3 linked regions of the Stegostoma tigrinum genome follow. The protein of the gene in region 2 interacts with the protein of the main gene of each other region in a biochemical or structural test. Links are inferred from orthologs where the notes say so. Each region holds a gene or a part of one and is shown on either strand. Other genes may lie near its edges. The genes, in order: klhl12, fbxl17 and sufu.

The links.
Region 1: the proteins of fbxl17 (region 2) and klhl12 form a complex in vitro, tested with the Homo sapiens proteins (3 studies listed by BioGRID, with this or other methods). The link is inferred for Stegostoma tigrinum from reciprocal best matches to the Homo sapiens genes FBXL17 and KLHL12.
Region 3: of the proteins of fbxl17 (region 2) and sufu, one has a biochemical effect on the other in vitro, tested with the Homo sapiens proteins (2 studies listed by BioGRID, with this or other methods). The link is inferred for Stegostoma tigrinum from reciprocal best matches to the Homo sapiens genes FBXL17 and SUFU.

The regions. Positions count from the first base shown.
Region 1 is NC_081374.1:45,323,410-45,334,407, reverse strand, and holds the start of klhl12 (kelch-like protein 12), read left to right. Parts: upstream 1-6,830; 5' UTR 6,831-7,010; intron 7,011-8,882; 5' UTR 8,883-8,997; intron 8,998-9,415; exon of another isoform or gene 9,416-9,961; intron 9,962-10,808; 5' UTR 10,809-10,860; coding exon 10,861-10,998. UniProt on the Homo sapiens protein: Substrate-specific adapter of a BCR (BTB-CUL3-RBX1) E3 ubiquitin ligase complex that acts as a negative regulator of Wnt signaling pathway and ER-Golgi transport.
Region 2 is NC_081356.1:80,973,016-80,983,071, reverse strand, and holds the start of fbxl17 (F-box/LRR-repeat protein 17), read right to left. Parts: upstream 6,022-10,056; 5' UTR 5,951-6,021; intron 5,944-5,950; exon of another isoform or gene 5,800-5,943; intron 1-5,799. UniProt on the Homo sapiens protein: Substrate-recognition component of the SCF(FBXL17) E3 ubiquitin ligase complex, a key component of a quality control pathway required to ensure functional dimerization of BTB domain-containing proteins (dimerization quality control, DQC).
Region 3 is NC_081373.1:7,322,210-7,332,947, reverse strand, and holds the start of sufu (suppressor of fused homolog), read right to left. Parts: upstream 3,921-10,738; 5' UTR 3,738-3,920; coding exon 3,601-3,737; intron 1-3,600. UniProt on the Homo sapiens protein: Negative regulator in the hedgehog/smoothened signaling pathway. Down-regulates GLI1-mediated transactivation of target genes. Down-regulates GLI2-mediated transactivation of target genes. Part of a corepressor complex that acts on DNA-bound GLI1.

The sequences.
Region 1 (10,998 bases), on a different chromosome or scaffold from region 2:
GCCTTACTGAAGTCCATATAGATCACATCCACCGCTCTGTCCTCATCAATTCTCTTCATTACTTCCTCAAAAAACTCAATCAGATTAGTGAGATGTGATTTCCTACACACAAAGCCATGTTGACTGTCCCTAATCAGTCCTTGCCTTTCCAAATACATGTAAATCCTGTCCCTCAGGATTCCCTCCAACAATCTGCCTACCACTGATATCAGGGCCAATGGTCTATAGTTCCCTGGTTTTTCCTTAGCACCTTTCTTAAATAGTGATACCACGTTAGCCAACCTCCAGTCTTCTGGCACCTCACCTGCAGCTGTCAGTGATACAAACATCTCAGCGCGGGGCCCAGCAATCACTTCCCTATGTTCCCACAGAGTTCTAGGGTACACCTGATCAGATCCCAGTGATTTATCCATCTTTATGCGTTTTAAGATGTTCAGCACCACCTCCTCTGTGATATGGAGATTTTTCAAGACGTCACTATCTATTTCCCCACATTCTCTATTTTCCATATCCTTCTCTACAGTAAACATTGATGCAAAATACTTGTTTAGTATGTCCCCCATCTCCTATGGTTTCACACAGAGGCTGCCTTGCTGATCTTTAAGGAGCCCTGTTTTATCTCTAGTTACTCTTGTGTCTTTAACGTATTTATAAAATCCCTTTCAATTCTCCTTAACTATTTTTGTTAAAGCTTTGTCCCCTTCTTGCCCTCCTGATTTCCCTCTTAAATACACTCCTACTGCCTTTTTACTGTCCTAAGGATTCACTCGATCTCTGCTGTCTATACCTGACATATACTTCCTTCTTATTCTTGACGAGAACCTCAATTTCTCCAGTCATCCAGCATTCCCTACACCTACTAGTTTTGCCCTTCACACTCACAGGAACATACTGCCTCTGGACTCTCATCTCATTTTTTGAAGGCTTCCCATTCATCTGCTCTATCCCCCTATTCCTACCCTCACTAGCTTGTGGCACCGGGAGTAATCCAGGTATTACTACCCTTGAGGACCTCCTTTTGAAATTCCTGCCTAACTTCCTATCTTCTCCCCTCAGAATCTCATCCATTTCTCATCCTATGCTGTTGGTTCCAATGTGTACAATGACTTCCAGCTGGTCCCACTCCTGTTTGAGAATATTCTGCACTTCTCCAAAATATCCTTGATCTGTGTATGAGGGACAGAACATAAGAACATAAGACCATAAGACATAGGAGTGGAAGTAAGGCCATTCAGCCCATCAAGTCCACTCTGCCATTTAAATCATGGCTGATGGGCATTTCAACTCCACTTCCCTGCACTCTCCCCGTAGCCCTTCTGATGTCTTGCTGTTGGCCACAGAATCATCTGACTAGTGACTCCCCTATCACAGTTAGTCACTTGGAACCTGACGTACCTCTCATTATATTAGAGCCAGTCTCATACCAGAAACCTGGTTGTCCCTGCTACATTCCTTTGAGAGTCCATCATCCCTAAACGTTCCAAAACAGCATATTGGTTTGAGATGGGGATAGCCACAGAAGACTCCTGCAATACCTACCTCCCTCTCCTACCTTTCCTGGAGGTAACCCATCTTCCTGGCTATATTGCAGTTTTTCTCCCTTTCCGAAAATGTCATACATCACAACCCCTAGCTCCTGTAGATTCCACATTGTCTCTCGGTGATGCTCCAATCGATCCATGCGATCCAATAACATTTGCAACCAAACATAGTTCCTGCCGACATAGTCATCAGTAACACAAAGACTCCCTAGTCTCCCACATCCAACAGGAAGCGTACAAACACTGCTCTAAAGGCCACCATTACAACTATCTACTGTCTACAGACTCAGAAAATAGCACAGTATTACTGCTCTAAAAACACTGCTCCGAGCTAACTTAGAATCTGTTTTTAGTATCTGTGTCAAGAGACAGATCGCAATAAAACATATAATTGCAAGAGAACCCACTGTTGTAGTTGTACAAAATAATTAGTAAGGTTACACTTTAAAAAGCCACTTAGTTGCTCCCCTGCTGTGAGATGTCCAACACGGGTTTCTCCTAGGTCAGCTGTGAATTTTACTGTTTGTTAATTTTGCTTGGATGAGCTCCGATGGCCAGAGATACTTGAAATCAAACAGCAGAACAGTCAGCTAGGTCAGACCCAGCAGTGCAGATTTATTTCTCCGTTTGAATCCCTTCCCACCTGGTCATTGCCACTGCCATTGTCTGTCTTCCTGTTTTTTTTAAAGCTGTTGTTTTGATCTGTTTTTTTCTCCCAGTCTTCCAAAACAATGCAACAGGTTATAAAACAAGAATTACTGCTCCTAGAATTTGAAGAAATCAGCTCAAAACTGAAAATACCTCAAAAAAGGAGCAACTCTTACAGACAAAATGCCTTCTTATCCTTTCTTAAATTCATTCACAGGACGAGGGCATCGCTGTTAGGCAGCATTTATTGCCCATCCTTAATTGTCCAGAGGGCAGTTAAGAGTCAACCACATTGCTTTGGGTCGGGAGTCACATGTAGGCCAGACCAGGTAAGGTTGGCAGTTTCCCTCCCTAAAGGACATTAGTGAACCAGGTGGGTTTCCCCCCCAACAATTGACAATGGATTCACGGTCATCATTAGATTCTTAATTCCAGATATTTCATTGAGTTCAAGTTCCACCATCTGCCGTGGTGGGATTTGAACCTGGATCCTTAGAATGTTATCTGGGTCTCTGGATTAACAGTCCAGCGATAATACCAGTAGGCCATTGCCTCCCTCCGATAAGAGTCCTCTCCCTGTCCCTAGACCTCTTCACCCAACTCCAACAATCTCCCTGGACCCCTCTCTCTGGCCTTTTACCTGCACTCGACCTGTTCATTGAGAACCATTGACATGGCATTAGTGGCTTCAATTTCTCTGCTCCCCTTACCCATTCAAACCCATCTCCCTCAGAACTGACCGCACTGTGTGCTCTCCAATCCTACTCTGACTTTGTAATCAAGCCTAGCAATGTGCTGTTGTTGTCTGATATGCTGGCTTCTACATTATACTGGCTGAGTGCAGCTATTAGACTCGTCCTCCTATCTCGGTCCTGGACCATGACCCTACCATTGAACACCAGGCTATTGTGTCCACTTGGTCACTAATCTCATTTCACTGGTGATCTCTGCCCTAACCCGATTGTTTTTCTCCCCTTGTCTAGTTCCTTTCCACTTACAAACACAATTTTTCCATCACTTTACATCAGTTCACGGGCTCCAGCAGCCTCCTCTTCATCTTCAGCGATGTTCAATCCCTTTCCATGTTCACCCTCCCTCAGAATGGTCTCAGGACACTAATCTAATAATCTAACTACTGCCCCCATCACTGAATCCCTCACTATCAACATACTTGGGGTTACCATTTATCAAAAACTCAACTAGAATCACCACATAAACACAGTGGCTACAGGAGCAGTTCAGTGATCAGGAAAACTGCCATAAACCACCTCCTGACTCCCAGAGGGAGGGGGTGGGAGATGACCATAGGAAAAGGTGGGGATGAGGGAGAGGGGAGGGTGAATGTTGGGGAATGAGGATAAAGCGGGGATGGGAAGGAGGGAGGGGGTGGGGGAAGTGTGTAGGTGTCGGGGACTAAGAGTGGGGGAGGTGTGGAGGAGCGGGATGTGTGTGTGGGGGAGGTAATAGGGGTGGGGGATGTGTGGGTGGCTGTGGGGGATGTATGGGGGAGGGGGATGTCAGTTGAGGGAGATGTGTGTGGGGGGAGGGGGATGTGGGTGGGGGTCTGTTGGGGAGGGGAATGTGTGTGTGCAGGGGGGGATTGGGGTAGGGAGGGGAAGGTGGGTGCATGTAGGGGATTAGTGGCAGGGGAGCTATGAGTGAATGTGGCGGATGGGGAAGAGGGTGGCAGTGGGGGAGGAGGGTTAGGGGTGTGGGAGATGTTGGTGGGAGAGGGGGATTAGGAGTGGTGGAAGAGTTGGTGGGGAATGGAGGTTAGTGGTGGGGGAGGTGTTGGTGGTGTGGGGACTAGGGGCGGGGGAGGGTGATTGGGGTGGGGGAGGTGGTGGTGAGCAGAGAGATGTTGTCGGGGGAGGGGAATTAAGGGTGAGTGAGGTTTTGGTGTGGGACAGGGAGGTGTTGGTGGGGGGTGGTTTAGGGGTGGGGGACGTATTGGAGAGGGAGGGGGATTGGGGTGTGGGAGGTGTTGGGGGGGTGGGGGAGATTAGGGATGGCGGATGTGTTGATGAGGGTGGTGGCTACGAGGTGGGGGAGGTATTGGTGGGGCTAGGAGATTAGGTATGGGGGAGGTATTGGTGGGGTGGGCTGGGCTTTAGGGGCGGGGAAGGTGTTGGTGGGGGAGATGTTGGTGGGGGTGGGCTTTACGGGCGGGGAGGTGTTGGTGGGGGAGGGTTTAGGGGTGGGGGTGGGTTTCGGGGTGGGGAAGGTGTTGGTGGGTGTGGGTTTTAGGGGTGGGGGAGGTGTTGGTGGGGGTTTAGGGGTGGGGTGGTGTTGGTGGTGGGGGAGGTGTTGGGGGTGGTTTAGGGGTGGGGGAGGTGTTGGTGGGGGATTTAGGGGTGGGGAAGGTGTTGTTGGGGGGTTTAGGGGTGGGGGAGGCCTCCCACACCCCTAATCCCCTTCCCCCTCCAATACGTCCCCCACCCCTAAACAACCCCCCACCAACACCTCCCTGTCCCACACCAAAACCTCACTCACCCTTAATTCCGCTCCCCCGACAACATCTCCCTGCTCACCACCACCTCCCCCACCCCAATCACCCTCCCCCGCCCCTAGTCCCCACACCACCAACACCTCCCCCACCACTAACCTCCATTCCCCACCAACTCTTCCACCACTCCTAATCCCCCTCTCCCACCAACATCTCCCACACCCCTAACCCTCCTCCCCCACTGCCACCCTCTTCCCCATCCGCCACATCCACTCATAGCTCCCCTGCCACTAATCCCCTACATGCACCCACCTTCCCCTCCCTACCCCAATCCCCCTCTGCACACACACATTCCCCTCCCCCACGGACCCCTACCCACATGGGAGGTGTTGGTAGGGGGCTTTAGGGGGTGGGGAAGGTGATGGTGGGAGGGGTTCAGGGGTGGGGAGATGTTGGTGGTTGGGGATTTTGGGTGGGGAGTTGTTGGTGGGTGGTTTGGGGTGGGGTGTTTAGGGGTGGTGAGGTGTTTGTGGGTGGTTTAGGGATGGGGGAGGTGTTGGTGGGGGGTTCAGGGGTGGGGGAGGTGTTGGTAGGGGCGCTTTAGGGGGTGGGGAAGGTGATGGTGGGAGGGGTTTTGGGGAGGGAGGTGTTGGTGGGGGGCTTTAGGGGATGGGCAAGGTGATGGTGGGAGGGGTTTGGGGGTGGGGAGGTGTTGGTAGGGGGGCTTTAGGGAGTGGGGAAGGTGATGGTGGGAGGGGTTCAGAGGGTGGGGACGTGTTGGTAGGGGGGCTTTAGTGGGTGGGGCAGGTGATGGTGGGAGGGGTTGGGGTGGGGAGGTGTTGGTAGGGGGCTTTAGGGGGTGGGGAAAATGATGGTGGGAGGGGTTTGGGGGGTGGGGAGGTATTGGTAGGGGACCTTTAGGGGGTGGGGAAGGTGATGGTGGGAGGGGTTTAGAGGGTGGGGAGGTGTTGGTAGGGGGCCTTTAGGGGGTGGGGAAGGTGATGGTGGGAAGGGTGTAGGGGGGCTTTAGGGGATGGGGAAGGTGATGGTGGGAAGGATTTAGGGGGTGGGGAGGTGTTGGTAGGGGGGCTTTAGGGGATGGGAAAGGTGATGGTGGGAGGGGTTTTGGGGGTGGGGAGGTGTTGGTAGGGGGGCTTTAGGGGTTGGGGAAGGTGATGGTCGGTGGGGTTTAAAGGGTGGTGAGGTGTTGGTAGGGGGGGCTTTAGGGGGTGGGGAAGGTGATAGTGGGAGGGGTTTGGGGGTGAGGAGGTGTTGGTAGGGGGGCTTTTAGGGTGGGGAAGGTGATGGTGGGAGGGGTTTGGGGGTGGGGAGGTGTTGGTAGGGGGGCTTTAGGGGGTGGGGAAGGTGATGGTGGGAGGGGTTTGGGGGAGGGAAGTGTTGGTAGGGGGGCTTTAGGGGGTGGGGAAGGTGATGGTGGGAGGGGTTTGGGGGAGGGAGGTGTTGGTAGGGGGGCTTTAGGGGGTGGGGAAGGTGATGGTGGGAGGGGTTTGGGGGGTGGGGAGGTGTTGGTAGGGGGCTTTAGGGGTGGGGAAGGTGATGGTGGGAGGGGTTTGGGGTGGGGAGGTGTTGGTAGGGGGGCTTTAGGGGGTGGGGAAGGTGATGGTGGGAGGGGTTTGGGGGAGGGAAGTGTTGGTAGGGGGGCTTTAGGGGGTGGGGAAGTTGATGGTGGGAGGGGTTTGGGGGAGGGAGGTGTTGGTAGGGAGGTTTTAGGGGGTGGGGAAGGTGATGGAAGGAGGGGTTTAGGGGGTGGGGAGGTGTTGGTAGGGGGCTTTAGGGGATGGGGAAGGTGATGCTAGGAGGTGTGTAGGGGGGCTTTAGGGGGTGGGGAAGGTGATGGTGGGAGGGCTTTAGGGGGTGGGGAAGGTGATGGTAGGAGGGGATTAGGGGATGGGGAGGTGTTGGTAGGGGGGCTTTAGGGGATGGGGAAGGTGATGGTGGGAAGGGTTTTGGGGGTGGGGAGGTGTTGGTAGGGGGGCTTTAGGGGGTGGGGAAGGTGATGATGGGAGGGGTTTGGGGGAGGGAAGTGTTGGTAGGGGGTCTTTAGGGGGTGGGGAAGGTGATGGTAGGCGGGGTTTGGGGGTTGGGGAGGTTTTGGTATGGGAGGGTGAGGATCAGCTGTTGAAAGATGTCACGTGAGCTTTCACTACGCGCGCATGCGTCAGGCCGTGCATTGTGGGTGTTGTAGTCCAGTAGGAGCCGCGGCTGGAGGGCGGTAAGAGCTCGGCTGGGGCTCGGGCCTTGGAGCTGCGGCCTGACCCCTAGCTCCTCTACACAATCTCCCATCCCCTCATCTGGGTGAGGAAAGGGCCGGCCGGCCGGCAAAACGCGGAGAGATGGGATCGGGAATGATCCTGGTAAAGATGAAATGTTCTGTGTTTTATGTTAAAGATGAAAACCCTGCAATTGGTCGTCAAGGCTGTACATCTCGGGGTGATCACTGAGGAAGATCGCTGAGGGGGGGTAGAATGGGATGATCACTGGGTTAGTCGCTGAGGGAGGGGTTGGGGTTGATCACTGGGTTCGGAGGAGATGGCTGAGGGGGTGGGATGGCTGGTAATCAATGGGGGAGATCACCGTGGGAGAGGGGAATGGGGTGGTCATTGGGGGAGATCACTGAGGTGGGAAATGGCTGGTCGCTGGAGGAGATCACTGTGGGAGAGCGGAATGGGGGTGGGTCATTGGGGGAGATCACTGAGGGGGTGGAATGGCTGGTAATCACTGGGGGAGATCACCGAGGGAGAGGGGAATGGGGTGGTCATTGGGGGAGATCACCGAAGGAGAGGGGAATGGCAGGTAATCATGGGGGGAGATCACTGAGGGAGAGGGGAATTGGGGGTGGTCATTGGGGAAGATCATTGATGGTGTGGGATGGCAGGTCATCACTGGGGGTGATCACTGAGGGAGAGCAGAATGGGGGTGGTCGTTGGGGGAAGGTGAATGGGGATGATGAATGGGGGAGGGTGTGATCACGAGGAAGAGACAAGATGACCAGCGTCCGGAGGAAGGGCAAGGTGGAGAGACCTCCAGGAATCCAGGTGGCATGACTGGAGTTGTGCAGATCCAGGATGCAGTAGAAAATGAACAGTAGGAGGAGAGGAGGAAAAGATGAGGAATCCAGAGAATTGGAAATAAACACAGAAAGGGGTAGCAAGAGGGAAGAATATGGGGAGACAAGAACAGCAGCAAAGGTCAATAAATAGACAACAGTGTTTAAAGAAGACCACATAAATGGTGCAGATACTTTGTGATAGACGAAGAATTAGTTTGGAAATTTTGACTCCAGGTTTAAAGGTTTTGATGTGGAAATAATTACCTCGGGGAGAAGTTTCCCGAGAGTCCATTCAAGAAGGTGTCTGCTCTGCATTGGTTCTTGGTTATAATGAGAATCCAATATGACTTCTTCAGAACTCCAGCAGTAGTTTGCTTTTATTTCTTAGTTATAACTACTTTTGCTGGTGCCGAAAAGGGTCTTGCTCACATTCGCAGTGGTTTCACGGGGAAAGCATCCAAGGTGCTTCGAATGTTTAAATGTTAAAAATTAAATAGGGGGGTTTAAGAAGGTAAGTTCCAGAGTGTGGACCTAATCTTGTTGGAGACTTTGACACTACTTGTGTTTGGGGTGGGGGTGGTTAGCAATATGGTTAAAGCAAAGGATTCAAGAGAGTTGCAGTAGAGTTTAAGATCTGCAGTAAGATGGCATCTTTAAACCTATTGGTAATGGTTGAATAGAGCCTATGGTTACAGACCCATGCCAATTGATTAAATGCTTTCTTTGTTGCACAAATATTAGTGCTAGAGCAGCGCAGGATGTGTTAACATACCAGAAAAGGGTCAACAAGACAGCTTGGAAGGTCCGTATGCATCCTTCCAAATGAAAGTACTCGAAAGAGGAGGAAACAGTTAACACAAAGAAAATCCCAGCTCGACCAAAAAGGTTTACAGAAGCTATTTAAGCCATTCTGTTATCAAGAATACTGTGGAACCATTTTTCTGTGACCTATTTAAAGTAAGTGTTTCCATAGTGCATGGCTGAATTACTGGAACAGGCTCCTGGGGGTTGCAATTTTCTACTGATAGAAAGATGTCTCCTGCCTGGAGAGGAAGCAGAGCCTGTAACACTGTAGTATTTTCATTTCCTGATACAGATTCAGGTTGTGCACACATGGTGGAAGTGCATTCTTTGAGAAATGAATCAATTTTATCATATTGATTTTTTTTAATTGCAGGTGATATGACTGGATATGGCTGAAGGCGATTGAACTGGGAGAAATTCTGTGAAATTAGCTTTGCCCGGTTCTGGAAGAACAGAAAATCTCAGGAGTAATTTTATGCTGCTGGCAGGTGATGGACTTCAGTTCTGCCATGGCTTATCAAATGTGGTAGTAACTCTGGTTTGGCAAACAAGTCTAAGAATAAGCCTAAATAAAAACCGAAAGAACTGTGGATGCAGTAAGAATAAGCCATCTCTGTGGCGTGAAGACAAATAATATGTCTAATTCGTTTCAGTGTTCCTAAAACATTCCCAAGTCATCTTGTCAGGCTGTTTTTGCAATTTAACCTGTTTTCATTGTTTCTGTGGTCAGACTACAGGGTTGTTTGTTGCTTTTCAGGATCACAAGGATCTTCAGGCTCCCACTGCATTATTTTCTGTTGCAGCACCTCTGCCAGTGGATTCTTAAATTAATTTATTCAGTTTAATCCACTAATACCAGATCTAGCCTCAAGTACTCAGACACCAGGTCTGTTATTTCTTGGACTTGATTGAGTATAAATATCGTAAAACTGTTGGGACAATAAGCTGTCAGTCTGTGCTCAGAATTGGAGCAATATATTTAACCTGTTGCCCTTATCTGAAGTGGAATAGAATCAAGAGTTGGCAAATAAATTGTGTTTGTGACAGGAAAGTGGTTGTAATAACTCACCAAGGCATTCTGTTTTAATCAGAAACCTTGGTGTTCATTGCGATAACCAAAGGTTCATAAGTGGGTTCCTTTGTCTGTTGTGATGTGGAATATGCATTTGGGAAACATTTAGGTGGAATTGATGCACTGTGTCTATTTCTGGGGTCAAGTCACATAACACCAGGTTATAGTCCAACAGGTTTATTTGAAAACACAAGCTTTCGGAGTCTTACTCCTCCTTCAGGGGTTCGTGAGACAGGTAATATCAGACACAGAATTTATAAGTAAAAGATTAAAGGGTCAATTTCTGGGGATGTTTTTCAGAGCAAGTTGAATCCATGCTGTCCAGACGAGGCCTGAATGTTGAGTTTAACATTTGGATCAGGCTCCTCTTCATCCAGAACGTGAGATCTTTTACATCACTTTTGAGAGAAACTTTAGTTTAACGTTTCATCTGAATGATATCACCTCCAGTTAGAATGAACTCCTTAAGCACCGGCCTAAAGTACTAAGGTTTAAAATCACATTGAGTGGGATATTAGTATTCTAGTACTAAGCCAAGATTAGAACCTTGAGAACTTTAGTGTGTTGGTGATGACTGAGTGATCTCTGCCTTGTGGTTGGATTAGAGACATGGTAACAATGGACAGAGTTACAAAGACGGTTCTGTTGTGTTGTGGCCTGCAGACATGTGCTTGTGTTTGTATTTGTGTTGGCAACAACAAAAAAGGGTAAATCTTAGATTGAAAATGCACTAATCCTAAAACTAAATTATCCCAAGATATCTTGAGAAATGAGTTTCTGATTTGCCATGCAGCAGCTTTTAAGAAGGGGATAGATTGCCATGGATGGACTAGCAGCAGTGTGGCGGCCTGTACTTGAGTGTTGGTATGGCGATCTCGTCAGTGTAACCAGTGAGAAGATATACGAACAGTCAGTGTGATGCACCAGATAGGGAATGGAAAGAGGTCTTGAGATCAAAACACAAAGAAGCAAATTGCCTCTTTAGGTTAGCCAACAGGTAAAATCATAGCAAAGAGCTGAGGAAAAAGATGGGTATTGCGGACGTTGTCCATGATTTCTCAGATAGTACTGTCGGATGTGCGTTTGTCAAATATTTTCTTTAAACAAAAATGCTTTAAAATCTATATTGATCCTACAGCCTCAAATTTTGCAAATAACATATTAAACATGAGAGCATTGATTTTCCTAGCTTTTTAATAATGTGTTGTTGGTGTGATTTTAATCCAGCTGTAGGTGATTATCTCTCTCTTCACTGACTCTAAAAGAGGAAAGGCGGAACATGGCTCCTCGGGATATAATGACCAACTCACATGCCAAGTCCATACTTAACACGATGAACTCTCTGAGGAAGAGTAACACCCTGTGTGATGTCACTTTGCGAGTTGATAGCAAGGACTTTCCTGCCCATCGTATTGTG
Region 2 (10,056 bases):
GCAGCATCAGAGGAGCAGAAAAGCTGACGTTTCCGGTCGAGACCATTCTTCAGAAAAATCTAATCTATTTTACATCTCAATCTCTCATCTCCAACTACAAACACTCCCCTTGGGCAGGCTCACCATCTGTTCAACTCACTCCTCCTCCCCTTTTGTCAACAGCACCAAAAAAACTTTGCTCTTCCTACCACAGAAGTGGATAATCGTCTGAAAGTGAAAACAAATTCAGGAAATATATGAGGAAAAAGGCAGGGAATTGATCTTGCAGAGAACCAGCACAGACATGACAAACCAAATATGACTTCCTCCAAAGCTGTAATTGTTCTAAAAAGAGTCTATTCGCAAAGTTAAGAAAAATTGCAACGAGCAAAAGGTGACAGGCATTTGAAACGCTCACATGAAAGCTCAGATCAATTCATGAATTCAAAAGAATAGATCTTGTTAACTAGAAGCATCGAGGGAAAGGCGGCAGTTAGGTGCATGGAGTTCAGCCACTGGTCTCATTCAACAGAAGAACAGACGAAAGTAGTTAACAGACAATAGACAATAGGTGCAGGAGTAGGCCATTCAGCCCTTCGAGCCAGCACCACCATTCATTATGATCATGGCTGATCATCCACAATCAGTATCCTGTTCCTGCCCTATCCCCAGAACCCTTGATTCCACTATCTTTAAGAGCTCTATCCATCTCTTTCTTGAAAGTATCCAGAGAGTTGGCCTCCACTGCCTTGGACCATTGTGAATGTATGCTCCTAACTGCCTAATGCTTATCTCAAAATCACTATTATGAGGCAAACTTTTGCAGCTCTAAAAGCCAATTCAAATTACAATTTGTTCATTGTATTGCTACATGAAGCAAAAGTACAATTCAACTTTTGAAATTGCTTATTAAAAGGCAATCAGCATTTAGCAAAATAAAAACAAGACTGTATAAAAGAAAATCATCTCAAGCCATTTGACACAGTCACGTAGATTTTGTGTAATACAAAATGATGTGAACATGTTTCTTTGTCAATTTGTTAAATACACTCTCCAAGGCACAAACTTGTCCTAAAGTTGACAACCAGAAGGTCAAGAGACATCTAATTCTTTTCAGAGGCACCCTTCATCAGGTCTTCCCTAATCTCTATCAGAGGATATTTCAAACATTTGTGGGGATTATCTCAATTTAACATGGCACAGAGCAGGAAAAGACTCCCCCAAAACTTTCATCCCTATTTAAACCACTTAAGAGTATTATCACAACATCAAGGACTACAGTGATGTTCCAAAACCACATTATACTTAATTTTTATCCAGATCCAAGAGGAGTTAATTGTATTTAAATCAGCCTACATCAACCACAACAGTTTAACTCAAACACAAAATGAGTGCTTTTGTATTGAACAAAGCATTAATTCTTTCCCATTCATTTTGAAGAATCAACATCCCATTTAATTAAGTTACTTTATAAGAATATTTTATAGACAAATTAGATTTCCCATCCATCATCGGATCTACCCAAAACACGTGAAGTTCCACAGAAACTCACTCCCTCTGCCAGCACATCTCATGTCACAGGGATCATCTGGGAGGGAAAAAAATGCTTGATTGGTCCCCTTATAAACCAAATGCTCTCTACTACCTAGCATAGCCCAGATTGTGTACCTTATTAGTTTCTCACACATTTGCTAAGTTCATCATATTCACAAAACACAACAAAAAAATTTTAACTCCATTTTTATTAATTTCCCAATGACAGCTCCCTTCTTACCTCTTGCATGCCAGCTGACATTCTAAACTATTTCAAAGTCCAGTTATCTAGTTTCTCAAAACAACTAACACCTCTCTCTTTGTAAAACCACAATCATCAGCATGTCATTGTTAACTAAATGCTTGATTTCAATCTTCATTCCAAAAGATATATTTGCCACCTGCTTATATCGTCACCTTGCCCATCTCCAAAAATTCTGTTTCAATTGTTCCAATCTAGTTTTAGTCGAAACACAATAAAGCTAAAATGAATGTACCATTTTTACATGATCAGGGTTGCATTTTTCCCCCCCAATATGCTCTCTGTTGACGTCCATGCACCATCTTCTTCCAAAATTTCAACACCATCTAGGTCCCATTACCTAAACAAATGTCGGTTGAACATCCACACTGATGACTTTCTCTGCACCATTACTTACAAAATTCCCTTCAGTTTCATTCTTGGATTCAGGTTAGTCCATATTGTCCATTGGTGACACAATCCACAGATATTCCATTAGCATTCACAGATACACTAGTGATACATTACTGTCATACCTCACTCCAAGCATGTTCAGACCGTGTATCCACCATAGAACATAGAACATTACAGCGCAGTCCAGGCCCTTCAGCCCTCGATGTTGCGCCGACCTGATAAACCAATCTGAAGCCTATCTAACCTACACTTTTTCATGGAAACACATAACCTCACCCCAACTAAATAACAGGCAGACTCGAGCCACTTTTTGGCCTGCCAAAAGCTTCATACCTTCCTACCTATTTCATGTCCTGACTGCCATTATTTTCGGATGAAACAGAACTTCCACATCCTTATTGGCCTGTCTGACCGATATTCAGATTTTTCAACCCAGATGGTCTTCATGAGGAAGACTTTTTACTTCTTTTTACTTTTCAATTACATCGTACCTACCTACCTATCATACTAAACGATACAAAAAGTACCCCCAGATTTGCAAAAAAGCAGGGGTGAAAGACCTTAAAACTATCACCATCACTCGAGAAAAAGATATTGACCTGTACCTTAGGGTCATTGAAAAAATGTGGTTGCATAGTTTGTGGACGTGTCGGTTACTCTTCCAAAATTCCCTAGATTTTGGAAGTGTCCAAGAGGATTAGAAAGCCACAAATGTAATACTACTATTCAAGGAGGGAGACACCAGTCTGGAAATCAGGAACTACAGCTGTGTTGCATCCAACATCTGTCAATATTAAAATACAAGAATCTATTACTAAGATAGACGCAGGACAGATAGAAAATCGAGTAGAATGTCATGGCTTTGTGAAAGGGAAGTTAACATCTGAACAATTTATGCAACCGCTTTGAAAAATTTCACCGAGTATTAAGCAAGGTGGAAAAACAGACACCAGTAAACATGACGGTTTACCAAAATCATTTTAATACCTTGCCACAAGATAAAAATCCATTTTGCTTGGGATGATATATTAATGTTTTCAGCATATTAGCTAACAAAGATAGATTCTGAAAAATGGCAGTCACTTGCAGGCTGGCATGCTGGAGGGTCGCAAGGATCAGAGGTGGGACTCAACTGTTTGTTTACGAGTATTAACGAAGTGGATGATGAAGTCAACTATATTATCTGCAGATTTGCTGATAATGCAAAGGATAGGCAGCAGAATAAGTTGTGAAAAGGATACAAAGGATCTGCAAAGGGATATATATACTGATGACATCAGTTAGGAAAATATTTGGCTAGAGAATAATGTAGTAAAATTTGAGGTTATTCACTTTGGCCAGAAGAAAAGAGAAATAGAACATTGTTTAAATGGAGAAACACTACAGAATGCTGCACAGCAAAGATCTGGGTCTTACTTAATCCAAAATGTTTGCTTAAAGCCATATCCAATAACTTCCTGTTACCAGTTTTCTTTTCCTCCCATCTGAATGTAATAGCTCTTCCCTGTGCTAACTCTATCTGTATATCAAGTTTTGTTAAAATCATTCAGTAGTTTCTGACATATATTGTTTACAAACAGACTAGCAAACAAAGCAAAAACATCTCTTCCACCCATCTTCAGCGGCAGAGGTAATTATTAAGTTAAATTTGATGTCAGCCTTTACCCACCAACATTTTATAGTAAAAGGAAGGAATTTTACTGCAACAGTGCATTGATGAGTCTGAAGCTGAAGTACTGTGGTGAGTTATTTCCTATCTCTAGGAGTTTCCCTTGCATTAGAAGCAATTCACAGAAAGTTCACTTGGCTGGTTTCTGGGGTGAATGGGTTGACTCATGGAGAAAGGATGAACGATTGCGCTGATAGTCATTGGAGTGAATAAGTGGTAATATTATTTAAACATAAGATTCTGACGGGGATGTACGCTGTTACTGCTGGAAGAATGCCTCCTTTTGTGGGGAAGACTAGAAGTAGGGGACGGACTTTAAAAATAAGAGATTTCCCATTAAAACTAAAGGAGGAATTCCTTCTCGCAGAGATCATATTTTTTGGAATGCTCCTCCACAGAATACTGGAGAACGTGTCATTGTGCATTTTCAAGGTTGAGTGAGATAGATTTTTGTTAACAAAGACTCAAAAAAGGTAACAGGTGCAAGCAGGGAGGTGGGTTCATCAGATCAGTCATACTCATACTAGGTAGCATAGTAGGTTCAATGGGCAGAAAAGCCTCAACCTACTGCTCTTTCTTAAGACTTATCTGCTATTGAAACCTTGATTTAAGCCTTTATCAGCTCTAGACTCAATTAATTGTGAGCTTTCCATTCCAGAAAAAAATCTCTAAAATCAACACATACCCACAAATTCACTACTTGTACTCAATCATCCACCATGACCAACACACCTATCCTCAACACACACTGACTCTACATCTCCCAATAATTTAAGTTTAACAATTTTATTCAATCTATGAACCTCACCCCATTCTCAGTTCCTCTGATAATACCTTTTGGTGCCTATCCCCTTCCTTCATTTGTACAAATACAGTATCGTCCGCCAAGACTTAACATATCGGACCAAGCAGATTGATGCTCTTTCCAAATATCTCCCCCTTGATGTTGCATCTAATTTGTCCCTTAACTCTGAAGTGTTTCTGGATGTTTTTCTTAATTTATAATTCACTTGTATAAATTGTATTTACAAGAATATTAGTCTTATGAACTAATCACATCACTGTTTAAAAAGGACATTGATAGAATTATTTACATGAAGTCATCCGTGTAAACATGTATCTATAAACTTTAAAGGTAGTTCTAACCACAAAAAAAAATCAACAATCCTGACTGACTCAAGCCCTGTGATATTGCACAATCTTTCAAAATAAAAATAATTTAGTTCCACTTTCTTGTGTGAAATTACTGATTTTAGATGGAATAGTACATGGTGAAATGTCAGTGCAACTTCAGACAAAACCTCTTATCCATGGAGAACCAAACCATTACACTTTATGTAGCTCTGGGCTACTATCACTGCACTTGTAAATAATAATGAAAAATGCAAGATTGGAAACTAATTATAACCCAACAGGACCATTTCATGTAAGTGTAATTAAACCAGAATTGAAAATGTAACTACTGTGCATTGAACAAACACATGCATTGAAAAAATATTTCAAATTGTCCTTTTAGTATTTAATAAAATTCAAAATGCATTTATATTATAGATTTAACGTGACCTGAGGTTTTCTTTACATCTTGTACATTTTCCCTATTCGCTATTTATATTGCGGAAGAATGTCAGAGGGCATTTTATTCAAATCACAATGGTTATAGATTAAGTGAAGGGTTTAACAAAACAATCTGATTATTGACTGTAAATTGAATGCGAGATTAAAAACATGATCAATTTTTAATATCTCCATAATATTTCAGTACTCAAAACCACTTGTACTGCTTCCTGTAAAGAGTTTCCATCCTCTACTGTCCCAATGTGAGACTAGGACTGTAGCAGCATTTCCGACTTCCTAAATTCCAGCTCCAATATGCAGCTTCACACATACTCATTTCAAACAAGGCCTCAGCTGCCCAGTGTTTGTCTCGCAAACTGTAAATAACAGGAAGAAGCGTGCTGCCTACCGGCGACTATTCCTTCCTACCGCCTTCACACGTTTGCATACTTAAACACAGAGACGTCATCATTCTTGTGTGTGTGTTTTTTTTCCCCCTAGAAAATATAAACAATTACTACTTATTGGAAAAAAAATAGTGAATATAAACTGATGCAGACCTTCCGGCTGTACAAGGCCTCATTCTTCAACTGAGAGGCCGGCTCAAACCGTCCGCGCGCCTCATTGGCGGCGATCAGCGAACGTCACTCGGTGATCCCGCCTTTTAATCAGATCCCAGCCGCGCAGTGATCAACCGCTGAGCGGGGACCTACCGTGAGGCGATTGTTAGCATTGCCGTGGGACAGAGCTTTAATAATGGTGACCTGCTGCTGCTGCTGTTGTCAGGTGAGAATCTTCGAGCTGGTGACTGAGAGGACCCGACAGCTGTTTGTTTCCTAAAATTAGATCAAGATCTTTGTCCGACCTTGTTCTCAATCGCTCTCCCTTCTCCTGTTAATATGTTTCTGCGTTTATATTCATCACTCCAGTGACTCTCATCCCTTTTTCTCTGCAGAATCTGTCCCTTTTTGTATTGTATTTATTGTGTTCATTAGTTTTCGGTCACATTTGTTTCGTCTGATATTGTTTTCTTTCTGTATTTTCAGCGTGACATCTTGAAATATATCATTCACCCATAACTTTTCGTGGTCGAATGAAAGCAAAATACTGGAACTTCAGAAGAAACAGAGTGGATTCGAAATAGTAATTCTTTCTATCTCCACACATTCTGGCAGATCTGCTGAGATTTTCCGCCGTTTTCTGCCTGTTTATACCTATTCAACTTCTCTAATTTTCCAGAAAATTTATCTCTTAAAAATTGTACGTCCTGGGATTCCCTTTTGTGGGAGCGCTCAACTCCCAGACCATGTTAAACTTAATCGTTTTGTAATCACTCACTGTCTAGATGATAGAAGTGTCAGATACTGACAGAGATATTAGGAACTGCTGATGCTGCAGAATCTGAGATAAACAAGGTGTGGAGCTGGATGAACACAGCAGGCCAAGCAGCATCAGAGGATTAGATTAGATTCGATTCCCTACAGTGTGGAAACAGGCCCTTCGGCCCCACAAGTCCACACCGCCCCTTGAAGCATCCCACCTAGACCCATCCCCCTATAACCCACACACCCCTGAACACTATGGGCAATTTAGCATGGCCGATCCACATAGCCTGCACATCTTTGGTTTGTGGGAGGAAACCGGAGCACCCAGAGGAAACCCACGCAGACACGGGGAGAATGTGCAAATCCCCACAGACAGTCCCCTGAGGCTAGAATTGAACCCGGGTCCCTGGCGCTGTGAGGCTGCAGCGCTAACCACTGAGTCACCGTGCCGCCCAGGAGCAGGAAAGCTGACGTTTCAGATCTGGACCCTTCTTCAGAAATGGGGGAGGGGAAGGCGAGGGGGATTCTGAAATAAATAGAGAGGGAAAGCGGATGGAAGATGGTTAAAGGATCAGATAGTTGGAGAGGAGACGGACAGGTCAAAGAGGCAGGGTTGGAGCCAGTAAAGGTGAGTGTAGATGGGAAATTAGGGTGGGAGTTAGTCAGTCCGGGGAAGATGGACAGGTGAGGGATGCAGGGATGAAGCTGGTTGGTAGGAGGTGGGAGTGGGAATTGAAGTGGGAGGAGCAGACACATGGGAGGAAGGACAGGTTAGGGAGGCGGGGACAAGCTGGGCTAGTTTTGGGATGCGTTCACGGGTGGGGAGATTTTGAAGCTTGTGAAGTCCACACTGGTACCGTTGGGCTACAAGGTTCCCAAGTGAAATATGAGGTGCTGTTCCTGCAACCTTAAGGTGGCATCGTTGTGGCACTGGATGAGGCCCAGGATGGACATGTCATCCAAGGAGTGGGAGGGGGAGTTGAAGTGGTTCGCAACTGGCAGGTGCAGTTGTTTGTTGTGAACTGAGTCTAGGTGTTCCACAAAGTGGTCTCCAAGCCTCCGCTTGGTTTCCCCAATGTCAAGGAGGCCACATCGGGAACAGCGGATATAGTATACCACACTAGCAGATGTGCAGGTGAACATCTGTTTGATGTGGAAGATTTTCTTGGGGCCTGGGATGGGAGTGAGGCAGGAGGTGTAGGGGCAGATGTAGCACTTCCTGCGGTTGCAGGGAAAAGTGCTGGGTTGGTGGGGCTGGTGGGGAGTGTGGAGCGGACAAGGGAGTCACGGAGAGAGTTGTCCCTCTGGAAGGCACATAAGGGTTGGGAGGGAAAAATTTCTTTGGTGGCGGGGTCAGATTGCACAGGCGGAAGTGCTGGAGGATGATGCATTGGATCCGGAGATTGGTGGGGTGATACGTGAGGATGAGGGGGATTCTGTTTTGGTTGTGATTGCGGGAAGGGGGTGTGAGGGATGGGTTGCGGGAAACGTGAGAGATGTGGTCAATGGCGTTCTTGACCGTAGTGGGGGGTAAGTTGCAGTCCTTGATAAACGAGGATATCTGGCATGTCCAGGAGTGGAATGCCTCATCTCAGGAGCAGGAATTGGGATTAGGGGGTGACATTTTTGCAGGAAGGTGGATGAGAGGCGCTGTCAGATACTGACAGTCGTTTACAAGGTGCATAATACATTACAAGCCATTCTTTGCAGATCTTTCAATTACTTCGAAGCAACTGTCTATGCACAGGTGGTGTGAAAACATTGATCTATGAGATATTAGCTGCTAGAAGTCACTTCCTACTCAAACGCAAAAATAAGTAAAAACATATTCGGATTTGGATTGCAAGCAAACATAAAGATGCTTTTGTCTCTAAAGATGCTGCTGACACTTTGATAAATAAAGATACCTTCCTGCAAATGGTGAACTTGTTGTAAAAGGTTTGGAGAAATTTGAATCATTGAGTGTCTGAACCTTGTTTGGCGATATCCATAAGATCTCTTAAATTGCTCCAGTAAATCACATGACTCTCAACAAAGTGGACAGAGCTGACTTTGCAGTGGTGGATGTGTATAGTGAGGTGAACAGGATTAATAACTCAACTATGCTTTCTTCATACATTTAAAATGTAAGTCCCCAAGTATTAGAGGCTCATTTCTTGCACGTGTTGTGCTCTTAATAAAAAACATATATGTCTTGATCGTTTATTTTGTTACCTACTGACCATTTTCCTGGCAAAGAGAGAAAAGTCTTTTAAATCAGGATGACTGTAGAACAAATCAAACTTCTGCCACATGCATTGTAATCCAATTTTTGATAAAAAGCCTTTTTATTCTAGAGCATTGTAGTTAGTTCCTTAGTCAGGTTGCCTTGTGAATGAAATTCTGTCACTGGTTGGTAGATATGTTCCCTGTCTTTTCCATCAGATATGGTAGTTTTGGCTAGACAAATAGCCTTACGCAGATTTAGTTAAATACATTGAAGTGGATTTTCAATATATGTAGCAGTGGGGTCCTTCAAACTGAGCTTTCCCTGTCTTCTAATCTGTGTGCAGTTTTGGTCTCTTTATCTGAGGAGGGATGCTGTGGCTTTTGAGGGAGTGCAACTAACAGTAAAGAACTAAGAATGTTTTGAAGAAAGAGTTAGTTATAGCTCTTAGAACTAAAAGAATAAAAGTGTATGGTGAAAAATCAGGAAGAAGATACTAAATTGAATGATCAACTACGATCATATTGAATGGGGGAGCAAGCTTGAAGGGCCTCCTCCTGTTTCCTGTGTTTTATGGACAATTGTGTATAGGTTAATCAAGCAGAGTCTACAGGGAAATCATCTTTAACTAATTTATTAGAGTCCTTTTGGGAAGTAACAAACATTGTCGTTAAAGACGTGTACTTAGATCTCAAAAAATGTCAAATCATATTTTACTGCACAAAATAAGAACTCATGGTGGTCAGAATGATTGATTAGCATGCACAGAGGATTGTTCAAGGGTAAATAGATCATTCTTGGCAGGTCGTAACTGGCAGAGTGCCACAGAGATTAGATACAAAAGCAGAAATTGCTGAAAAAGCTCAGCAGGTCTGGCAGCATCTGTGACGAGAAATCAGAGTTAACATTGCAGCGCAAGTGACCCTTCCTCAGAAATTTTTCACAGCATCTTCATTTGGTTTTTATTTGCTCAACTATTTACAATCTACGTTAATGACTTTGATGAAGGTATTGACTGCATTGTAGTCAAATTTTCTGTTGACAGAAAGATGGGCAAGAGTATTTTGTCAAGGGGACTTAAAGAGATGACAATGGATGATGAGTGAAATGAAGAGGCAAATATTTGGCAGATGGT
Region 3 (10,738 bases), on a different chromosome or scaffold from region 2:
CCCATCCCAGGCCCCAAGATGACTTTCCACATTAAGCAGAAGTTCACCGGCACATCTGCCAATGTGGTATACTGTATCCATTGCACCTGGTGTGGCTTCCTCTACATTGGGGAAACCAAGCGGAAGCTTGGGGACCGCTTTGCAGAACACCTCCGCTCGGTTCGCAAGAAATAGCGGCACCTCCCAGTCGCAAACCATTTTAACTCCCCCTCCCATTCTTCAGACGACATGTCCATCATGGGTGTCTTGCAGTGCCACAAGGATGCCACCCGAAGGTTGCAGGAACAGTAACTCATATTCCGCTTGGGAACCCTGCAGCCCAATGGTATCAATGTGGACTTCACCAGCTTCAAAATCGCCCCTTGCCCCACCGCATCCCAAAACCAGCCCAGCTCATCCCCTCCCCCAACTGCATCCCAAAACTAGCCCAGCCTGTCTCTGCCTCCCTAACCTGTTCTTCCTCTCACCCATCTCTTCCTCCCATCTCAAGCCGCACCACCATCTCCTACCTACTAACCTCATCCCACCTCCTTGACCTGTCCATCTTCCCTGGACTGACCTATGCCCTCCCTACCTCCCCACCTATACTCTCCGCTTCTCTCCATCTTCGCTCTGCCTCCCCCTCTCTCCCTATTTATTCCAGAACCCTCTCCCCATCCCCCTCTCTGATGAAGGGTCTAGGCCCGAAACGTCAGCTTTTGTGCTCCCGAGATGCTGCTTGGCCTGCTGTGTTTATCCAGCTCCACAATTTGTTATTTTAGTTTGATTGCAGATGTTTCTTCTTCAACAGTAGCACACTGGCCATGTTACCTAGCAAAGTTTCAAAATGTCTGCAACCAAACACACCAGCTCAGCAAGTCTACATCATCATCCACAACCCGAGTTACAAATCTTACAAAGACTTTAAATAGACCTTTCTTTATTTTATAAAATCTTCTATCAGGTCACTTCTCAACCTCCTAAACTCCAGTGGAAAAAAAAAGTCCCAGTCTATCCAGCATTTCCTTATAACTCAAACCTTTCATACCTCGTATATCCTGCTGAATACCTTCTGAACCCTCTCCAGATTGATAATATCCTTCCTATAACTGGGCAATCAGAACCGGACACTCTATTCCAGAAGAAGCCTCACCAACGTCCTGTACAATCTCAACATAATGTCCCAACTCCTATACACTAAGGACCAAGCAATGAAGGCATGTGTGCCAAACACTTTTTTAACCATCCTGTCTGTGTGTGACACAACTCTAAAGATTTGTATATCTGGACTCCTAGGTCCTCCTGTTCTACAACACCACCCAAGGCCCTACTATTAACTGTATAAGCCCTAGCCTTGTCAGCTGCACCAAAATGCAACACCTTGTACTTATCCATTTTTCAGCCCATTGACCCATTTGATAAAGACCCCTCCGTAATCTGCAGAAAGCCCTCTTCACTGCCTACGACGCCAACAACTTTGGTGTCATCCACAAACTTACTAACCATGCCTTCTATAATCTCAGCCAATCATTTATATAAATGACAAACAAAACAGGACTCATAACCGACCCCTGCGGAACACCGTCGGTCACAGGCCTCCGGCCCAAAAAGCAACGTTCCACCATTATTCTGTCTCCTTCCATTAAGCCAATTATGTAGCCAATTGGCAAGGTCACCAAGATTCCCATGTGACCTAACTTTACTATTTAGTTTACTATGTAGAACCTTGTCAAAGGCTTTACTAAAATCCAAATAAACGTCTGCTCCTCTGTCAACCCTTTTAGTAACTTTTTTCAAAAAACTCAGTCAAGTTTGTGAGACATGATTTTCCTCACACAAAACCATGCTGACTTTGACTTATCAATTTTTGCCTCTCTAAATGTCCATAAATCCTATCTTTTATAATCACCTCCAACAATTTACCTACAAGTGAAATCAGACTCTCAGGTCTACAGCTCCCCAGTTTCTCCTTACAACCCATCTTACACAAAGGTCCAATATTAGCCACCCTCCTGCCATCAGGCACCTCACCCAGTTATAGATGATACAGATATTTCTACAAGGAGTCTTGAAACTTGAAGGAGGAGGGGCTCGAGAAAGTTATATTCACTGGGGAGTTTGTGGATCTCTACAAATTTCTTCCTCACCAGTTATCATGCAGTCATTGTTTACCATCATGTAACTTCCCATAAAATCTAACAGAATTCATGATCTGTGCTGTATCAGGTAGTTAGGCCTTGAGATTAGAGAGAAAGGACACTAAAGATAAAGACAAAGCAAGTACCAACAATAAGAAGACAGTCAGATAGAAAGCAAATTTAGGTAGATTTGTGTACAAAGAGGTCAAAAGTTAGAATCGTCCTTTACAATTTCCCTTTATACATTCAATAGTTATTTTCCAAAATAATCAAACTTGCCAACATTTTTTGAATAAATTTATAGGCCAGCATAAAAAGACAAGACTACCCAAAACTACAGAATAGGACACATGCTGTGTAGGATATCCTAGCATATGGAAACAATAACATTCAAAATTAAATGCCTCAAGAGATCCAAATCCATCATTCAATGGATAGACCATCCTTGATCTGTATAGGGAAATATGTCCCAAACATAAAACCACAAGTGAACCCTACATTAGATGCATAGCTACTGAAATAAATCAAAACTTCTCCTTTCATCAAGTTCACAAGTGCTGAATGATACTCAGCAGAGGACAACTAATTTATGGTAACATAGTACAAATTGGTTTTTAACTAATATTTGAAATTCACACTGTCAATGAAAATACATGACAGTTTAAAATTCTAAATCAACTTTCATAAAATCTCAATTTATTCTTAGTCGTTTGTTAACGGATCAATATTTCTACCACACATTATAAAAAGGTGTTCAGTCAAATATTCTTAAGCAGGTTGAATTTTGACTATGTATTCTGCATTTTTTTTAAAAACTGCAGCAAAATTACTAATAGTTTTACCAGTTCAAGTTGAAAATTCTCAAAGGATGGTTTACTTTTGGAATTAGAGAAAATGATTGGATTTGCCTATGTGCTGATGATAAAAAGGCGTTTGCTGGCTACCGTTTTTTGTTGTGGAAAAATTGACTAGAAAAGACAAAAATTGTTACCCCTTTTTGTACCTTGTTTATTAGACCATTTCTCGTTGAAATCAACTCAAATGATAAAAACAAAAGTTCTTCCACAACGACGTGCATAGCAAGCTCCAGATACTTATGTAAAAACTGCAGTTGTTTATTTATAGTTTGCCTTAGGTAGGATGGTAGATCCAGTTCTGCAAAAAGGGTTAAACAGATGATATCGGTACAGAATGTATTTTCTGAATTTGGAAAGGTAAACAGTATAGCGCCAACTCCCATCATCAAAACACAAAATAATGAAAACATTCTTTTCCCCGAAGCTGCCATAAACTTTTTGAAAAGTGAGGGAGGGGAAAATTGAACTTTAAACATTGCAGAGAAAAAGTGTGCGTTTATATTCCTCAAATGGAAACCGTTTTATTGCCTTGATTTACACTAAGTTAATCGTTCTCGGGCATGGGGCCTCGGGAAACGGGCTGGAGACCAACCGGTGAGGAGAGAGCGCAGGAGTCGGGGACTTACCAGTACTTTACGATGGCGGTGACCTGCAGTGGGTTCGGCTGGTCCGAGTAAAGTCGTCTGCACTCCTGATAGATAGCGTGCAAACCCGGAGGCAGGAGCGCCGCAATGCCGGGGCCGCTAGGCCGCAACTCCTCCATCGGCTCGGCTGTCCCAGCGCCGGTCTACCCGGGAATGTTGTGGGTGTCCCTCGGCCTGAAGGTGGATCCTGTCTCTCTCTCTCTCTCTGGAATTCGGGCGTCCACCGCGCTCGACCCCAACGAAGCGTCAAACTCGTCAGCCGACCCGTCCTTCCGTTCCGGGCCAAGCCGTCCCCGCTCTCACCTCCCTTCCCCCCCCTCCTCCACCTCCCCCACCCGCCCGCGCTCGCGCTGATTCGCTCCGTAACCGCCGCCCGCTCGCGCCGCTGCGGCTGCCACCTGCCGCCCTTCCCCATGTCCTCCCCTCACGCTGCCAACTGCCCCTTCCCCCATGTTCCCCCCCTCACACTGCCAGCTGCCCTCGATGTCCTCTCCTCACATTGCCAGCTGCCCCCCCATGTCCTCCCCTCACACTGCCAACTGCCACCCTTCCCCATGTCCTCCCCTCACACTGCCAACTGCCCCTTCCCCCATGTTCCCCCCCTCACACTGCCAGCTGCCCTCGATGTCCTCTCCTCACATTGCCAGCTGCCCCCCCATGTCCTCCCCTCACACTGCCAACTGCCCCTTCCCCCATGTCCTCCCCTCACACTGCCAACTGCCCCTTCCCCCATGGCCTCCCCTCACACTGCCAACTTCCCCCTATGTCCTCCCCTCACACTGCCAACTGCCACCCTTCCCCATGTCCTCCCGTCACACTGCCAACTGCCCCCCATGTCCTCACCTCACATTGCCAACTGCCCCCATGTCCTCCCCTCACATTGCCAACTGCCCCCATGTTCTCCCATCACACTGCCAACTGCCCCTTCCCCCATGGCCTCCCCTCACACTGCCAACTTCCTCCTATGTCCTCCCCTCACACTGCCAACTGCCCCTTCCCCCATGGCCTCCCCTCACACTGCCAACTTCCCCCTATGTCCTCCCCTCACACTGCCAACTGCCACCCTTCCCCATGTCCTCCCGTCACACTGCCACCCTTCCCCATGTCCTCCCGTCACACTGCCAACTGCCCCCCATGTCCTCACCTCACATTGCCAACTGCCCCCATGTCCTCCCATCACACTGCCAACTGCCCTCCAAGTCCTCCCCTCACATTGCCAACTGCCACCCTTCCCCATGTTTTCCCTTCACACTGCCGATTGCTTCCCTCCCCCATGTCTTCCCCTCACACTGCCGACTGTCCCCTGACATCCCCTCACATTGCCAACTGCCCCCCCCATGTCCTCCCCTTGTGCTCTCAACAGTCCTCTGTCCATCATGCTCCTAAATCACTGCCCATCACGCTGCTGCTGCCAATTGAATGCTTGTCTGTTGCACTGCCAATGATTCCCCTACCCCTCGTTCCCAATCAATTCCTGTCCCTCATGTTGCCTGTGCTCAACTGTTCATTGCTGCCAACCAACCCCTTCACAGTACAGGTGCTAAGCTTCATTTGTCCCTCATGCTAGTTGTCCCCTTTACCATTAACTGCATTCCTGTTTCTCTCACTCTACCCGTTATCTTGTTCCTGACATTGTCCTACTATACCCTCCTTCCCACACTTACACTGTCTCTCTCTCTCTCTCGCTGCCCCTTGCCCTGCTGCTAATGCTTCTTGTCTAACCCTCCACAATGCTCCTTAAGCACTCTTGCCCTCTCCCTAATGATTCTATCTCACTTTACCTGTTGCTTTGCCTCACCACAAAATCCAAGCCATTTTAGTTATGCTGTCAATTCTGAAAGACAGTAGACTGACCATCGTGTTCATGATAAAAATAATAATTGAACATATTTACAAATAAATACCAGGACACAGTGGCTCAGTGGTAAGCACTGCTACCTTATAGCACCAGGATCTCAGGTTTGAATCCATCCTTGGGTAACTGTCTGTGTGGAGTTTGCACGTTCTTCCCGTGTCTGCATGGATTTCCTCTGGTGCTCCGGTTTGTTTCCACATTGCAAAGAAGTGCAGGTTATGTGGATTGGCTATTTTAAATTGTCATGTGGTATCCACGGGTGCCCAGGCTAGGGGGGTTATGAGCCGTGGTAGATGTGGGATGACAGGGATAGGGAGGGTCTGATGGGATGCTCTTCGGGTGGTGGTGCAGACTCAATGGGCCAAATGGCCTCTTTCTGCAATGTAGGGATTCCATGAAACACCCCACTTGATTGGCACTAAACCCATCACCTTCTGCATTCTTTCTCTTCACCACAGAAACACAGTGGCAACGGTGTGTAGCATCTACAAGATGTGCAGAACTCACCCAAAATTTTTTTGACAGCAGCTACCAAACTTGTGACCTCTACCATACAGAAGGACAGGGGCAGCAGATGCATTAGAACGCAACCACCCACAAGTTTCTCACCAAGCCACATACCATCCAGACTTGGAACTGCATCGCTATTCCTTCACTATTGCGGTGCCAAAAGCCTTTGACAATGTTCTTCATGGTAGACTGGTCAGTTTAGTTAGATCACATGGGATTCAGGGAGAGCTTGTCAATTAAGTACAAAATTGGCTTGACAGTAGGAGATAGAGGGTGATGGAGGAGGGTATTTTTTTTTCGGACTGGAGGCCTATGACCAGCGGTGTTCTGCAGGGATCAGTGATTAGTCTACTAGTGAATGTCATTTATATAAACAATTTGGATGGGAATTTAGGAAGCATGGTTAATAAGTCTGTGGCTGACACCAATGTTGGTGGTATGGTCGACAGTGAAGAAGGTTATCTAAGATGACAAAGAGGTCTTGATCAAATGGACCAATGGGCCCAGGAGTGGCAGCTGGAGTCTAATTTACATAATTATAAGGTATTTCATTCTTGTAAGGCAAATAAGGGCAGGACTTAGAGATAATGGGAACTGCTGCTGCTTGGCCTGCTGTGTTCATCCAGCTCCACACTTGGTTATCAGTTAATGATAGGGCCCTGGTTAGGTGCTTTCAAACAGAGACACCTAGGAGTTCAGGTACTAGTTGTTTGAAAGTTGCAACAGGATGTAAAGAAGACATTTGGCATGCCTGTTTCATTGCTCAGACCATTGAGTATAGGCGGTGAGACGTCATATTGCGGTAGTAAAGGATGTTGATGAGGCCACTTTTGGAATACTGTGTACAGTTCTAGTAACCCTGCTATAGGAAGAATATTGTTAAATTGGAGAGGGTGCATAGAAGATTTACAAGGATATCCCACTGCTGCCAACTATTGGGCGGCACAGTGGCTCAGTGTTTAGCACTACCTCACAGCACCAGGGACCTGGATTCGATTCCACCCTCGGGCAACTGTCTGTGTGGAGTTTGTACATCCTCCCTGTCTCTGCGTGGGTTTCCTCCGGGTACTCCGCTTTCCTCCCACGTTCCAAAAATGTGCAGATTAGGTGGATTGGCTATGCTAAATTGTCTGTAGTGTTTTGGGATGTATAGATTACGTGGGAGATGGGTCTGGATGAGATGCTCTGATGGCCGGTGTGGACTAGATGGGCCAAAGGGCCTGTTTCCATACTGTAGGGATTCTCTTCTTTGATTCTATTCTAAGGATGTTACCAGGACTGGAAGGCTTGAGTTGTGAGGTGATGCTGGATAGACTGGGACATTTTTCACTGGAGCATGGGAGGTTGAGGGATGACCTTTTAGACATTTATAAAATCATGAGGACAATAGATAAGGTGTATAGCAAAGGTCTTTTCCCTAGGGTTGGGGGGAGTTCAAGACCAGGGTGCATATTTTGAAGATGGGAGGAGAAAGATTTAAAAAGGACATGAGGGGCAACTTTTTTGAACAGAGAGTGATTCATATGTGGAATAAACGGCCAAAGGTAGTGGTAGACGCAGGTACAGTTACAACATTTAAAAGACATTTGGGCAGGTACATAAGTGGAAAGGAGCCAAACACAAGCAAATGGGACTGGTATAGTTTTGGAAACTTGGTAAGCATGGACAAGTTGGACCAAAAAATCTGTTTCTATGCTGTATTTCTCTATGACTGCACCTGTTTAAAGAGGCAGCTCATCACCACCTTTCGGACAATCATGGATGATTGATGGCCTATGAATTCCATGAATGAAAATGAAACACAGAAGCACCAATACAAAGTTGGTGATGGTACCAGAACTGAAGAAAACAATTATATGTTCCAGTACTTTTTATTCAGAATTGGTCTGAAAATTGTTCAGAGGAAACAATCTTATGTTTACCATGCTGCATTCTGTGATGTTTGCACATGAATAATGCAATTTCTAATTCAAATACTAATTGTGGAATCTAAGTCTAACTGAATGAAGCATATTGTGCTAAAACAGCATCGTATTTCAGCTCACAATCATTTTCAAAGATACAGTTCTAAATAACATAGTTGATGAGTATTCATACCTCAGCGTCATTGACATTGTAACCATGTAAAGACAGATTAACACTAACAACAAAGCATTCACTTCCTGATTTGGGCACAATCCAAATAACTTGCCTATATGCAAACTGATAGGTTCTTGACGTTTAACAATGCATGACAGTTTCCATAAGATCATAATAAGATTATAAGAAATAGGAACAAGAATAGCGATTTGGCCCCTCTGAGCTTGCTCTATCATTCAATAGAATTATGGCTGATTGAACATTCCTCATATCCACTTTCCTATATCTTATCGTGACCTTTAATTCCCTTATCAATCAAGAATTTATCTGTCTCAGCCTCAAATATACACAAATGCTCTGTCCCGGCAAGGAATTCCAAACTCCCACAACTCTGAGAGAAGAAAATTCCTCTTCATCTCAGTTTTGAATTGACACCCCTTTATTCTGAGAATATATCCTCTGGTCCTAGAGCCTCCCATGAGGGGAAACATCCTCTCAGCCTTTACCCAATCAAACCCCTTGAGCTTGCTGTATGTTTCAATGAGATCACCTCTCATTCTTCTAAATTCCAATTAATTGATTCCCAACCTATTTAGCCTTTGCCCATCAGACAAACCCTCGATACCAGGGATCATCCTAGTGAACCATCTCTGAACTGTGTCTATTGAGATAATATCTTTCCTTAAATAAGGGGATCAAAACTGCTCACAGTAGAGTTATAGAGCTGTACAGCATGGAAACAGATTCTTCAGACCAACTCATCCCTGCCACCAGATATCCTAAATTCATCTAGTCCCACCTGCCAGCATTTGAAACATGTCCCTTTAAACCCTTCCTATTCATGTACCCATCCAGATGCCTTTTAAATGTTGTAATTGTACCAGTCTCCACCATTTCCTCTGACAGCTGTTCCATACATACACTACTCTCTGCGTGAAAATGTTGCCCTTAGGTCCCTCTTGAACCTTTCCGTTTCACCTGAAGCCTATGCCCTCTAGTTTTGAACTCCCCTGTCAGTACTCCAGATGTCATCTCATCAGCACATTGTACAGTTGCAGTAAGACTTCCCTATGCTTATAATCCAAACCCCTCAAAAATAAGTGCCAATATTGCATTAGCCTTCCTGATTAGCCTTCCATATTAACATCTAATTATTAGTATTAAAAATAATAAAACCTTCTCAAATGCAGAATGAAAACATTGCTTCTGGTCTGTTGGATGTGAAAATGCAAAAATATAAGTGCAAGTCTTTTTTTACTGTTTGGTAACTGCTTCTGGTCCAAGAAATTCACTGATCATGGTATTCTGGCAACCAGAAGACTTATCTTGAACAACTTTTACTTTTCTTATTTGTGACAAATACAATACCTTATTATTGGAAATGGTTATACACACAAGGCTAAAGTGAACAAATCTGATGTACAAAACTTCAAGTCAGGCCACAGAAATCAACAAAGTACACTGATACTGTAAGGCAGCAGTTCCCAACCATTGCAGTATCAAAGCACACTTCAATGAGACAAACAATTCCATGGCAACACGCACTGTTTCATGTCACATGAGTCTACGCATGCACAGCTCTGGAGGCTTGTGCATGTGCAATTGATAGGGGCACGTAGTGTCAGCACATATTGCCTTCAATAATAGACACCCAAACTCTGGAAGAGATCAGAAGCTATGTACACAGCCTCAACACTCAGGTAAAGCAATGCTACTTCCTGAAAATTTTGTCATGCACTTCTCACTTTGTTGCAGCACACTGATTGAAAACCACTAGACCACGAGTAAGGACTCTCAGGCACAATCCAGTGTCAATAACTGTGGGCCAGAAAGTCTGTGTTCAAGATATGTCACAATGTGTCTGGACAGGTTGTTTAAAATATCCATACACCACAATTTGTGGGAAGGATTTGCAGCTTGAAAGTGTGTGGGTGTAAATATCTACATGTTTGAACAACTGTCTCCTAGGTTTCTCGACTTAATTCTCCTGTTCATAATCCCCTACATTCCCTACCAATCCAGGGCTGTTTTGCTCAACTTTTGTCTTCCTGACCCTGTCCAATAGGCTGACTTAAGTGATCATTCCATATTAGTCAATGTTTTAATACTTTCTAATCAATGCTGTATCGGTATTTTTATACCAAGTCTGAGAAAAGAAACTACAACTTGCGTTTTATATCACCTTTCTTGACCAATGGACAACCCAAGTTGATATAACATTAGCAAAGCAGCAGACAATTTTTGCACAAGAATGTGATATTCATTAAATAGTCCGTTTCAGTGATGAGGCATAAAAATGTAAGATAAGCATCAATATCACGAACCAGACATGTTAACCTATCTTGTGATTTTGAAATGTTTAAATATTAATTGCATTTATATGATGCTTTTCATTATCCTTTCAACATGGACTCCATCTACACTTCACGTGGCCACAGAAAGGCAGCCAACATCATCAAAGACCTCTCCTAACCCGATTATACTCATTTCCAACCTCTTCTGTCAGGCAGAAGGTACAGAAGTTCAAACATACATGCCAACAGATTCAAGAACAGCTTTTTCCCGAGATAACAAGGTGTAGAGCTGGATGAACACAGCAGGCCAAGCACCATCAGAGGAGCAAGAAGGCTGACGTTTCGGGTCTAGACCCTTCTTCAGCAATGGGGGAGGGGAAGG